Linked DNA regions of Ovis aries. The protein of the gene in region 2 interacts with the protein of the main gene of each other region in a biochemical or structural test. Links are inferred from orthologs where the notes say so. Each region holds a gene or a part of one and is shown on either strand. Other genes may lie near its edges.

Region 1 (5,154 bases), on a different chromosome or scaffold from region 2:
CCCTATCCTCCTCAAACATTCTTTACTAAACACTAAGGAGTTGGTGATGGACAGGGAGGCCTGGCATGCTGCGATTCATGGGGTCACAAAGAGTCGGACACGACTGAGCGACTGAACTGAACTGAACTGAAGGACACAATCTCCAACTTTGGAACATTGTGTTTAAAAAAAAAAAAGACTAACATTAAGCACTAACCATGTGCCAGCCAATGTTACTTATTCTCTCACTAATCTTAGTATTCCTAGCCTAGATCTAAGCATATAATATATACTTAACTGGCATTTATTTTTCAAACAAGTAATGATTATTAAGATGAGGGGATTCAAAGACTAAAAAAAAAAAGGTACTGGCCCTCAAGGAGGTTACAAATCGAATTTGGAAACATGAGACGCGAAAAGCTAAACAACCTATAACAATTAAAAATACCACGTGGTAGGGCTGCGATTATTTGCAAAGTCAGTGGCAAAGAAGAATGCTATAAATTCTGACCAGAGAGAGAGTACTATAGACTGCGGTTCCGGTCTCCCGACCAGACGGCGACACTATAGTTCAATTTAAAAAAAGAAAGTGACACAGCACTCATCCCACCCTAAAATTATCATCAGAGGAAGGAATACAATAACTAAAGAGAACGGTGTAAAGAAAACTTCCATACACAGCTTTTAAAGCATACGATGGCCCTGATAAAAGTGAAAACGGGCCGCAGAACACAATCTTTCGCTGGATCTCCAGGACCTCTGAAGGCTCCTGAAACACAGTCTCTCAAGGAGAGCATCCTTCCTCCTTTCTCCCTCAGCTCCCTACGAAGCTTTCCACTGGACAGCCGTCCCAGAAATTTCTCCCAGCATCCGCAGTGACAGCAACTCTCATCTTCCTCTCCCTCCCCTCGCCGGTATCAGACAGTGGCATCTCCCGCCAGGGGAAAAAACGGAGGGCGGGGGGTGGGGGGAGGCAGAATAGGCGAGAAAGCTTGCAGCTAGATTGATTTAAGACGGGAAGAGTAGGTGGGAGGACGCGGGGGTCGAGGGCGGGGTCCTCCCAGCTCCAGCTCCAGTCTCTCGGAGGTCTAGCCAATATCCCACTCCTCCCGCTCCACCCCAGGGCGCGCCCCTCGCCCGCTGGACCTGAACTGGGAGGCGACGAACTCGAGTGACAGCCCCACTACCTGTGCGCCCCCAGCCCCCAGCCCCGTCCCCCAGGCCTGCGGGGAGATGCCTGCCCCCGCCCCACGAGCAGCGGCCCCGGGCTCCTTCTCTGATTCCAGTCCACATCGCCGATGAGTGACAGGTCCCGGGGGAGGCAATCGCCAGCGCTCGCTGGTCGGGACCGCGGGTGCAACCGTGCGCCGAAGCCCTCCAGCACGCACGGGGAGTAGACAGAACGTCCCGGGCGGCCCCAGGGGACCCGGACCAGGCCTGGCCTTCCTCGGTTGCCCCACACCCGGCGGGGGTGGCACTTACTGCGGAGGTTGTGGATCAGCTCCGAGTGGCTGGCGCCGCCGGATTTCCAGGCCATCGCTAAGCACACCCGGAGCAGGTACAGAACCACCTTCAGCGCGGCGACGGTGCCCAGTAGCTTCCCCAAGAGTGAGACCACCTCCCACACGGTCACCGCCCCGTTCTCGTCCCCGCTGGAGCCGCCGCTGTTACTGCCGTCGTCGCTGCTGCCGCCACTGCGCGCTCCCGGCATCCCCCGCGGCACGCATGCGCTCTGTGACGCCGCGCGGCCTCGGGCGCGGCCGGGTGGGGCCGGAGGCGGGGGTGGCTTCGCGACCCGCAGCCCGGGCGAGGGGCCGCTGCGGCTGCCCGAGATTGGCGGCTTGGCCTCGCTGAGTCAGCGCCACCGCCGCCACTGCGTGGCCTTTCTGAGACCTCGGGCTGCGCAGCGCCTCCTTGCTTGGGTTTGCCCTGCGGTCAGGCGGGGTGGGCCGCAGCGCGGTCGGCCGCGTGCCTCGCTGCGGCTCTGGTCACCGAGAGCGGTGGCAGGATGGCAGGGCGGGTCTGGTTCCGAGGCTGCCGGTGGCTCTGCAGTCGTCGCTGGGTCAGCTGTTGCGAGTGGCGGGTCTGCTCCTATAGCTGTCCAGATTGTTAAACGGTGGGCTTCCTCCGTCCTGCCTTCACCCAACCCAATGAATGACTAACATATTTAGGTCGGTTAGAGTCAGAGCTCCCTATGGTGAACACCGAGTATCTTAAACGGAGGGCAAACGTCCTCTCTAACCCGAGTACTCCAGGCTCTAGCTAACAAGTACATTTAGTGGCTGGTTAGCAGAGACTTTGGGACCCTGATTTGTTCTCAGCTCTAAAGCACAAATTCAGAGAGTGGAAGAAGACAGACAAGGGTTGGAGGGTGGAGCACCGAGAATGCTTTGCTCCTTAGGAAAATGCACTTGCTTAAAAACACTACAGTAGCCTGTGGCGACTGTTTTTCTCCTAACACAAGTGGGCGTTTTTAGCTATTTAAGCCTCACAAATTCCACCATTAGACTGGACCCCGGCTTTGCTGCTATCAGCTATGCAAGACACCGAGTGAGAAACTGACAAGGAACATTGCCAGTAGAATCCAACTTGCTGACTCCTAATCAGAACGGAGACTGGAAGGATCCAGTCATTTAGTCCCAATAAACTTTTAAGGAAGGAAACAAAGCTATGTAAAGACATTGATGCTACTGCGTCAGCAACAATGCTCAAATTTTAGTTCTAACCAGACCTTGGCAAATGTGGTGTCTATGTAAGTATGTATGAATATAGTTATATATTAACTATTTCGTGGGATTCTGCGATAATAACCGAAGCAGCATTCTTTACTTCAATATTGGGAATAAATTAGCCAGTTTGGGACTCAAAATTGGAACTGGGGGTCTTCAGAATTACAACTCCAGTTTCTGACCGTGTGTGTTATCATTGAAGAAAAGTACTTGCTTGGGGGGACAGGGAGGGAGAAGTTTTTAATAATACATTGGTACGTTAATGGACGTACTTCCACGAGAATTTAAGGATTTTTAATCTTTTCTATGCGCGGTGAAATGCAAGCCTGCTTAGGTGTAGCTACTAGCTCGTTTCTCTTGCATTGCTTTTATTTTGGTTTTGCTCTTAAATTTGTCTTTACATTGCAAATTCTTTTGCGCCAATGTATTGTCTCGGTGTTCCTATACCGATTTTGCAGATTAGAAGATGGTCCTACAGCACAAGGACGGGCATGCCCTTGCCCTGGTGCACAAGGACGGGCATGCTCTTGCACTGGTTCAGAGCCGCCTTAGTCAGGAAGGCCGTCGCATCTTCTTCGCGTTTGGGGCAGGGTTGTTCGTTCCTGCACTGCGGACGGAGGAGAATTGGCTCTCTGCAGCCACCGTCCCTCATCAGGTCCGGTCCAATCAGGGCTCAGCGAGAAGGGGCGGGGCTGAGTGGCGCGCGCTGTACTTCGTGCTGTGCCTACCTGGGTTCCTCTCAGCATGGAGGAAATTTATGCTAAGTTTGTATCACAGAAAATCAGCAAGACTCGTTGGCGACCATTACCTCCAGGGAGCCTGCAGACAGCGGAGACTTTCGCCACGGGCTCTTGGGACAATGAGGTACCCCTGCGCCCGACCGGGAGTCCCTGCTATCTCCTTCCTTCCAGAAACCGCGCCCCCGGCAGCCAGCGCGCGAACTCCTGTTTCGTAGCTCCTCGCGCGGTTGTCTGTCTCCCGAATGCACGTCTCACGCTCGGTCGCCTTATATCTGAGAGGCATCAGTGGCCTCGTTTCTTGTGTTTTTAATGATTATGCCGTTTGCCCTGGATACTTTTAAAGCAGGGTTGATTGAAGGCAGTGCACATTTCAATTTCGAGGAGTTTGATGTATATTTCATCTCAAAATGGAATTTTCTGCTTTTCAGGAAAATTATGTTTCACTGTGGTCTATTGGAGATTTTGGAAACTTGGATTCTGATGGAGGATTTGAAGGAGACCATCAATTATTGTGCAGTATCAAACATCATGGTGATGTAATGGATTTACAAGTACGTCTGTTGTAATATCCAAGAGCTAACTTTTAAAAAATTGAGAGTAATACATTGAGAGATGTAAAGGACCTTATAGTTTGTCTAGTCTTACCCTGGGTTTACAAGAACTTGAGTTCTCTGTAGGTTATGATTTGTCATGTCATATAGCTGGTTATGGCAGAGTCAGCACTGGGGAAGGGGATGTGAAGTTAATCATAGCTTGTTTGTTTAATTGACCATCTACTATGTGCCAAGCTGTGTTTACATAAGTTAATTTCATTCTCATGGAATGCTGGTGAATCAAGTATTGTTATCTCTCTTATGAGAAAACTAAGATCTTTTGAGCATGGATTATATGACAAATACTGTGCAAGACACTTTACATGTTTTTGCTTTTTGAATTCTCGTTTTATAAGTTTACCAAAGCTTGGAGAACTTAACTTGGCCCAGGTTTCAAATCGGGTAATAACTGGTGGGAATGGAATTAAGTTTTCAAATTCTGATCTGTAAGACTTCAGAGTCCCTGCATTTTCTTCTGTGGAAAGCTGCCTGACCCTGGGAATTATACTCTCCTAAACGTTTATGGTAGTTGTACAAAATTAAATCAATTGTAGATGAACAGGTTTGAGGGGGGAAATTATTGTTGTTTATTCTTCATGAAAATACTTTTATTTGTATAGCAGTTTTGACTTTGGCATTTTATTTGCTTAGCATTTGTAGGTTCTTTGCATTTTAAAATTGTTACACTGCTAATTGAGTTAGATAAATGGGCTTCTTCCCTGCTGATATTTATGAATTTATAACATGCAGGAATTTTCTGTTTAGTTTTTGGACCAGGAAAGAATTGTAGCTGCTTCATCGACAGGATGTGTGACAATTTTCCTCCACCATCCAAATAACCAGGTAAAGAATTTTTGTTTGAAAACTCAGTTTGCATTTTAATTATTTTTAGGAAGGCTTAAAGAAGGCTATACTTAATAATGACAAATTATAAAGTTTTATTGTCTCAAAAACTATAAAAAGGAGGGGAAAATGTCATTGCATTACCCATCTTTTAGTTGACTAATTCTAGAACCATTTCTGTGTGAACTTTCATTGAAATTGGGTAACTCTTCAATTTTCTTAGGTTCCATGTAACAGTATGGTATTCTGGCAAGTGATTTTCCTGTAACT
Region 2 (4,639 bases):
AGCTGATTTATTTTGGAGTCTTACATTGGGTTTACTTTTTTAATAGACTGTTTCCTAAACATCAGTCCCTTGAATATCAACATCATTAATTTTTGCTGTACCTGTATATTATTATATTATTTGCTAAATATTTTTCTAAAAATCAAATCTCCCTTTTTACTAAGAGCTGCTTCCTAAAGTATAATATTCATCAAGATTGGGTGTAAAGAGCTACCTACATTTTCCTAACGCACATTAAAGTAAAACCACAACCATTAAAACAGAAACTATTATTCTGTGTCCCACCCCCTAAAATTCTCTGACTGTCTTGTGGGGACCCCTACCATAGGAACAGTCTATAAATGTTGAGTTAATGAATGACCATCATGTGTTTCAAGCTCTGCTTTGTTTCTTAGCTCTAGGGGAAAAAAATCTTTGGGACGTTTTCAGTCAAAACTTGTTCCTTCCTTAGGTCTCCATTCTGTCGGCAATGGAACTCATTTGGAACCTTTGTGAGATTCTTTTTATCGAAGTAGCCCCAGGTGAGCACAGAATGATCTTGTCACAGCGGCAGAGGTGTCCCCCTACCCTGTCCTGTGCTGTGCTGAGTGTTTTGTTGCCTAGAATGCTCTTTTCGTTGCTTTTCATCAATATAAGCATTGGGAGGTGTTACAGGATGCCTGAAGAAGCCTGTGTTTTTGTCAAGATACTGCAAAGAGTCAGAGTATCTTCTGAAAACCTTAGTTGTAGGCAGGTGACCCCTAAAAAATATGAAGAAACAGATATTAAACTAGTGTGCGAAAGGGGTGGTCCATATTTATACCATGGACTGGTGAAGCTTTAGAAAGTTTTAGAAGCTCGGGAGAGGTGTGTGCAGGTTCTTCAGCCTCCGAGGGAACCAGCCCTCCCAGCTCCAGAGACTTTTAGCCTCCTGAAACACAAGACAGTACATTTCTGTTGTTTAAAATTTTAAGAATGAAAAATGTTGTACGGATGTGAGGCAAGATTAGGTGGTGGAAGGCAGAATCCCTTAGAGAATTCCTTTGCTGGTGATTGGGTCAGGGGCAACCCTACAGCTTCATGCGTCCACTCTGAATTATTCCCTTGATCTTGAATTTGATTGTGGTCAGTACAGTATCCTGTGGGCAGTACAGTGGGCTCTCTGTGGAGGGGCTGTAGGCCTTTTTGCTTTCTTCTAATGGTTTGTATTTACTGTTGTCCATAAGTGTGTATTAGTAGTCTCTCTGTGGTCACAGCTTTTTATTCATAACTCCTGCTCAAGCACTGAGCAGCCTGAAATTGAATTGGTTGGTTGTCTGCTTGCCTCTTCCAGTAGATTCTGAGGACTGTTGCTGTCTTTCTATCACGTTTGTGTACCTGGCACCTAGTCAGTGCCATCCCCATATGGCCACTGCTGATGTCACCGAGTATTGCGTAGTTGTGAAGAAGCTGGGGGTGGTCGGGCTGGTGAGATCTGGGTCTCATGTTCAGCGCCCCCAACGATTCAGTGAAAGGTTGAGCTGCGTGGCACAGAGGAGGTGCCCACAGAAGTCCATTCGCTAGCTCAGCCCTGTTGTCAGGAGCACACGCCCGCTCACTGAAGAGGGACAGACCACTTCCACCATAGTTCGCTCGCCTGCCCTACATTCTCTGTACTTTGAGAAAGTGGAATCTACTGCTTATGTGTTTCCTCCCAGCTGGCCCTCTCCTCCTGTACCTCCTTGACTGGGTCCGACTGCATGTGTGCGAGGTGGACAATTTGTCAGCAGATGTTCTGGGCAGTGAGAATCCAAGCAAACACGAGAGCTTCTGGAACTTGGTAAGACCCTTGTGCGTGCTGGGCCTCCCTGCCTTCCTCCTCGTATTCTCTTTGGCCTGGGCCCCTGGGCTGGCCTGCGGGTTTCCCTGCTGAACCCGTGTGCGTGTTGTTCTTTGAGTCTGTGATCATGGAGATGTGCTTAGGGAGGCGTGCTTAGGGAGGTGTTTTCTTCCCTGCTCCATGGGAGAGTTTTGAACTAAGTTATCATGTAAGAAAAATAATGCTTTGTAGACTTCACAGTGAGAAGGGAATTTTGATCTGTTTGTGGATCTAAGAATGAGACTTGGTGAAGACAGTGCAAAGCCGATGGATAGGTGCTGGGGTAGGGGTTTGATGTCAGTGAGCTGAGGGCGGTTTTGAGGTGTTAGATGTGTTCTGAAGCTGAGTTGTGATGATAGTGCCCAACTCCATAAACTTACTCAAATTCACCGAATTAGACACTTAAACAGGTAAATGTTTATAAGGTGTACATTGCAATCAGTAAAGCTATTAAAAACAAAGACATTGATGATCCCAGTCATTTTGGATGGTCAGTTTGAAAGTTTGTGTGTGTGTGTGTATTCTATGTCTGGGAGAGCAGTACTTTTCCATTCACCTATACTGACCTATGACCCAGTATGGAGCGACCAGGGCGGAGGTTGCTGGTTGACTTGAATGTTGGAGACTTATATCATCTGAAATTCAGGTAAAGAGCTGCTGCCTTTAATGCTGTTTCTGAGGCCTTCGGGTGCTCCGAGATCTGTGCAGGTAAAGGGGAGAGCCTTTGTTCAGAAATGGTTGGGCCTAGGGTTTAAGTGTGTGATTCATTCACTGTGTATTTGAGTGGTGCTGTGTGCAGGCCCTGAGGAAACAACCAGGACCAAAGCAGGCAGTGGTTCCTACCCTTACGGAACTTGCATTCTGGGTGGGGAGACCGGAAATAAATATAGAAGCAAGTAAAATATGTGTAAAAGCGAAGCGCTCTGGAGAGAAAGAGCAAGAGAGGGGAATTGGGAGTATTAAAGTCGAGGAAGGGCACCCTTGTGAGGTGACGTGTGAGTAGGAACCTGAGGAGGTGACGAGGAGTGAGGGCTCAGCTCCTAGAGAGGCAGTGTGGTGGTGATGCTTAGTCACTTGGTCCTGTCTGACTCTTGGGACCCTGTGGGCTATAGCCCACCAGGTTCCTTTGTCCATGGGATTTTCCAGGCGAGGATTCTGGAATGGGTTGCTGTTTCCTTCTCCAGGGGATCCTCCCTACCCCGGGATCAAACCTGCATCTTCTCATTGGCAGGAGGATTCTTTACCACTGAGCCACCAGGAAAGCCCCAGAGAGGCAGGGTAGTTGAATGCTAAGAACAGGGTCTGTGGTGCCAAGCTGGCCAGGTTAGCATCCCAGCTCTGCCTCTTACCATCTGTGAGCTCTAGTGAGTCACTTGACTGCCTTTAGTTTCTTCGTGTGTGGCCTGGAGAGTGTGACACCTGTCCCACAGAGCTGTTCTGATTCGGTTAGCTGAAGGAGATAAAGGTATGACCTGGCTGATGGACACAGTAGAGCTCCCGTTCTACTCCTGAGTCAGCTGGGGTACAGAGGACATTAGAGAGTCAAACACAGGAACACTGTGATCTGACTTAGAGTTCCTTTTCTTTTAAAAAATACTTATTTGGCTGTGCTGGGTCTTAGTTGTGGCATGCAGGCTCTTTAGTTGCAGCATGTGATCTCTTAATTGCGGCGTGTGGGATCTAGTTCCCTGACCAGGGATGGAACCCAGGCTTCCTGCATTGGGAGCACTGAGTCTTAGCCACTGGACCAGCAGGGAAGTCCCTGATTTAGGTTTTCAAAGGCTTTTCTGGCTGCACTGCTGAGAATAGAGCAAAAGCAGAACGGAGAGACCAGCCTGGAGGCTCAGGTCCTAAATCAGGCAGCTGTGGTGGTAACTTGGACCCGGGTAGGAGCTGAGTGGAGGAGGTGGTAAGAAGTGATTTGATTCTGGATGCAGTTTAAAGGTACAGTGATAGGATTCGCTAATGAATTGGATGTGTAAGAAAGAGAAGAATGTGGGTTGGTGGGTTGGAAGCGACCCGGTGTTCATTTCGAGGCATGTTAAGGTGCCTGTGAACCAAGTGGAGCCATTGGCAACAGGATGTGCGTGTTTGGAATCAGGGAAAGGGACTGGGACTGGGCAGCATGTGTTTCCTTGGCTTGCTTCTTCTTCCTTTTCTTTTGCCGTGGCTAGCAGGATCTTAGTTCCCCAACCAGGAATTGAACCCAGGCCATAAAATAGCATGCAAAAACCTGAACCAAATTTGGCTAACCCAGTATTTGAACTAGAACTTTTTCTTTTAACTGAAACTTTTACAGATCAGTGCTTTATTTGATGCACTTTGGTAATTTTTATTTTCTGTTTCATTTTTAAAAAGTCAGTCACCTGCAGTGCGATACAACAACACGCAGTTTGAAAAGCATGGTACGGGTTGAAACTAGAAGGTTGGATGAATTAAATTACCTCTGACGGAGAAACCATCACACTTCTCCAGGATGAGGAAGCCAAAGCAGGCTGAGGGGACTGGCTGCTGAGCCTCCGCCTGGATGCTGTGTTCTTGGTGTCCTCCCAGGTGACCACCTTGGTGCTACAGGGCCGGCTGGACGAGGCCCGACAGATGCTCTCCAAGGAAGCCGACACCAACCCCACCTCTGCAGGCATGTGCCGAGTCCTGGGGGACCTGATGAGGACCATGCCCGTTCTCAGCGTATGTGGAGCCGCCTGGGTCGCAGAGAGAGGTTTATACAGGGAGCGTGAGGGGCTGCCGTGGTGACCGCCCCTGTCTGCGTCTCTCCCACAGCCTGGGAACACGCAGACCCTG

What was found. The genes of interacting proteins can lie anywhere in the genome.
Region 1: the proteins of NUP85 (region 2) and NUP43 form a complex in vitro, tested with the Homo sapiens proteins (2 studies listed by BioGRID). The link is inferred for Ovis aries from reciprocal best matches to the Homo sapiens genes NUP85 and NUP43.

The regions. Positions count from the first base shown.
Region 1 is NC_056061.1:74,007,815-74,012,968, reverse strand, and holds the start of NUP43 (nucleoporin Nup43), read left to right. Parts: upstream 1-1,713; 5' UTR 1,714-2,095; exon of another isoform or gene 2,096-2,739; intron 2,740-3,166; 5' UTR 3,167-3,174; coding exon 3,175-3,363; intron 3,364-3,402; exon of another isoform or gene 3,403-3,452; coding exon of another isoform or gene 3,453-3,485; coding exon 3,486-3,572; intron 3,573-3,876; coding exon 3,877-3,999; intron 4,000-4,806; coding exon 4,807-4,884; intron 4,885-5,154. Other genes in the region: PCMT1 (protein-L-isoaspartate(D-aspartate) O-methyltransferase), read right to left, coding at 1,462-1,690. UniProt on the Homo sapiens protein: Component of the Nup107-160 subcomplex of the nuclear pore complex (NPC). The Nup107-160 subcomplex is required for the assembly of a functional NPC.
Region 2 is NC_056064.1:55,594,220-55,598,858, reverse strand, and holds part of NUP85 (nuclear pore complex protein Nup85), read left to right. Parts: intron 1-451; coding exon 452-521; intron 522-1,676; coding exon 1,677-1,798; intron 1,799-4,390; coding exon 4,391-4,525; intron 4,526-4,618; coding exon 4,619-4,639. UniProt on the Homo sapiens protein: Essential component of the nuclear pore complex (NPC) that seems to be required for NPC assembly and maintenance. As part of the NPC Nup107-160 subcomplex plays a role in RNA export and in tethering NUP96/Nup98 and NUP153 to the nucleus.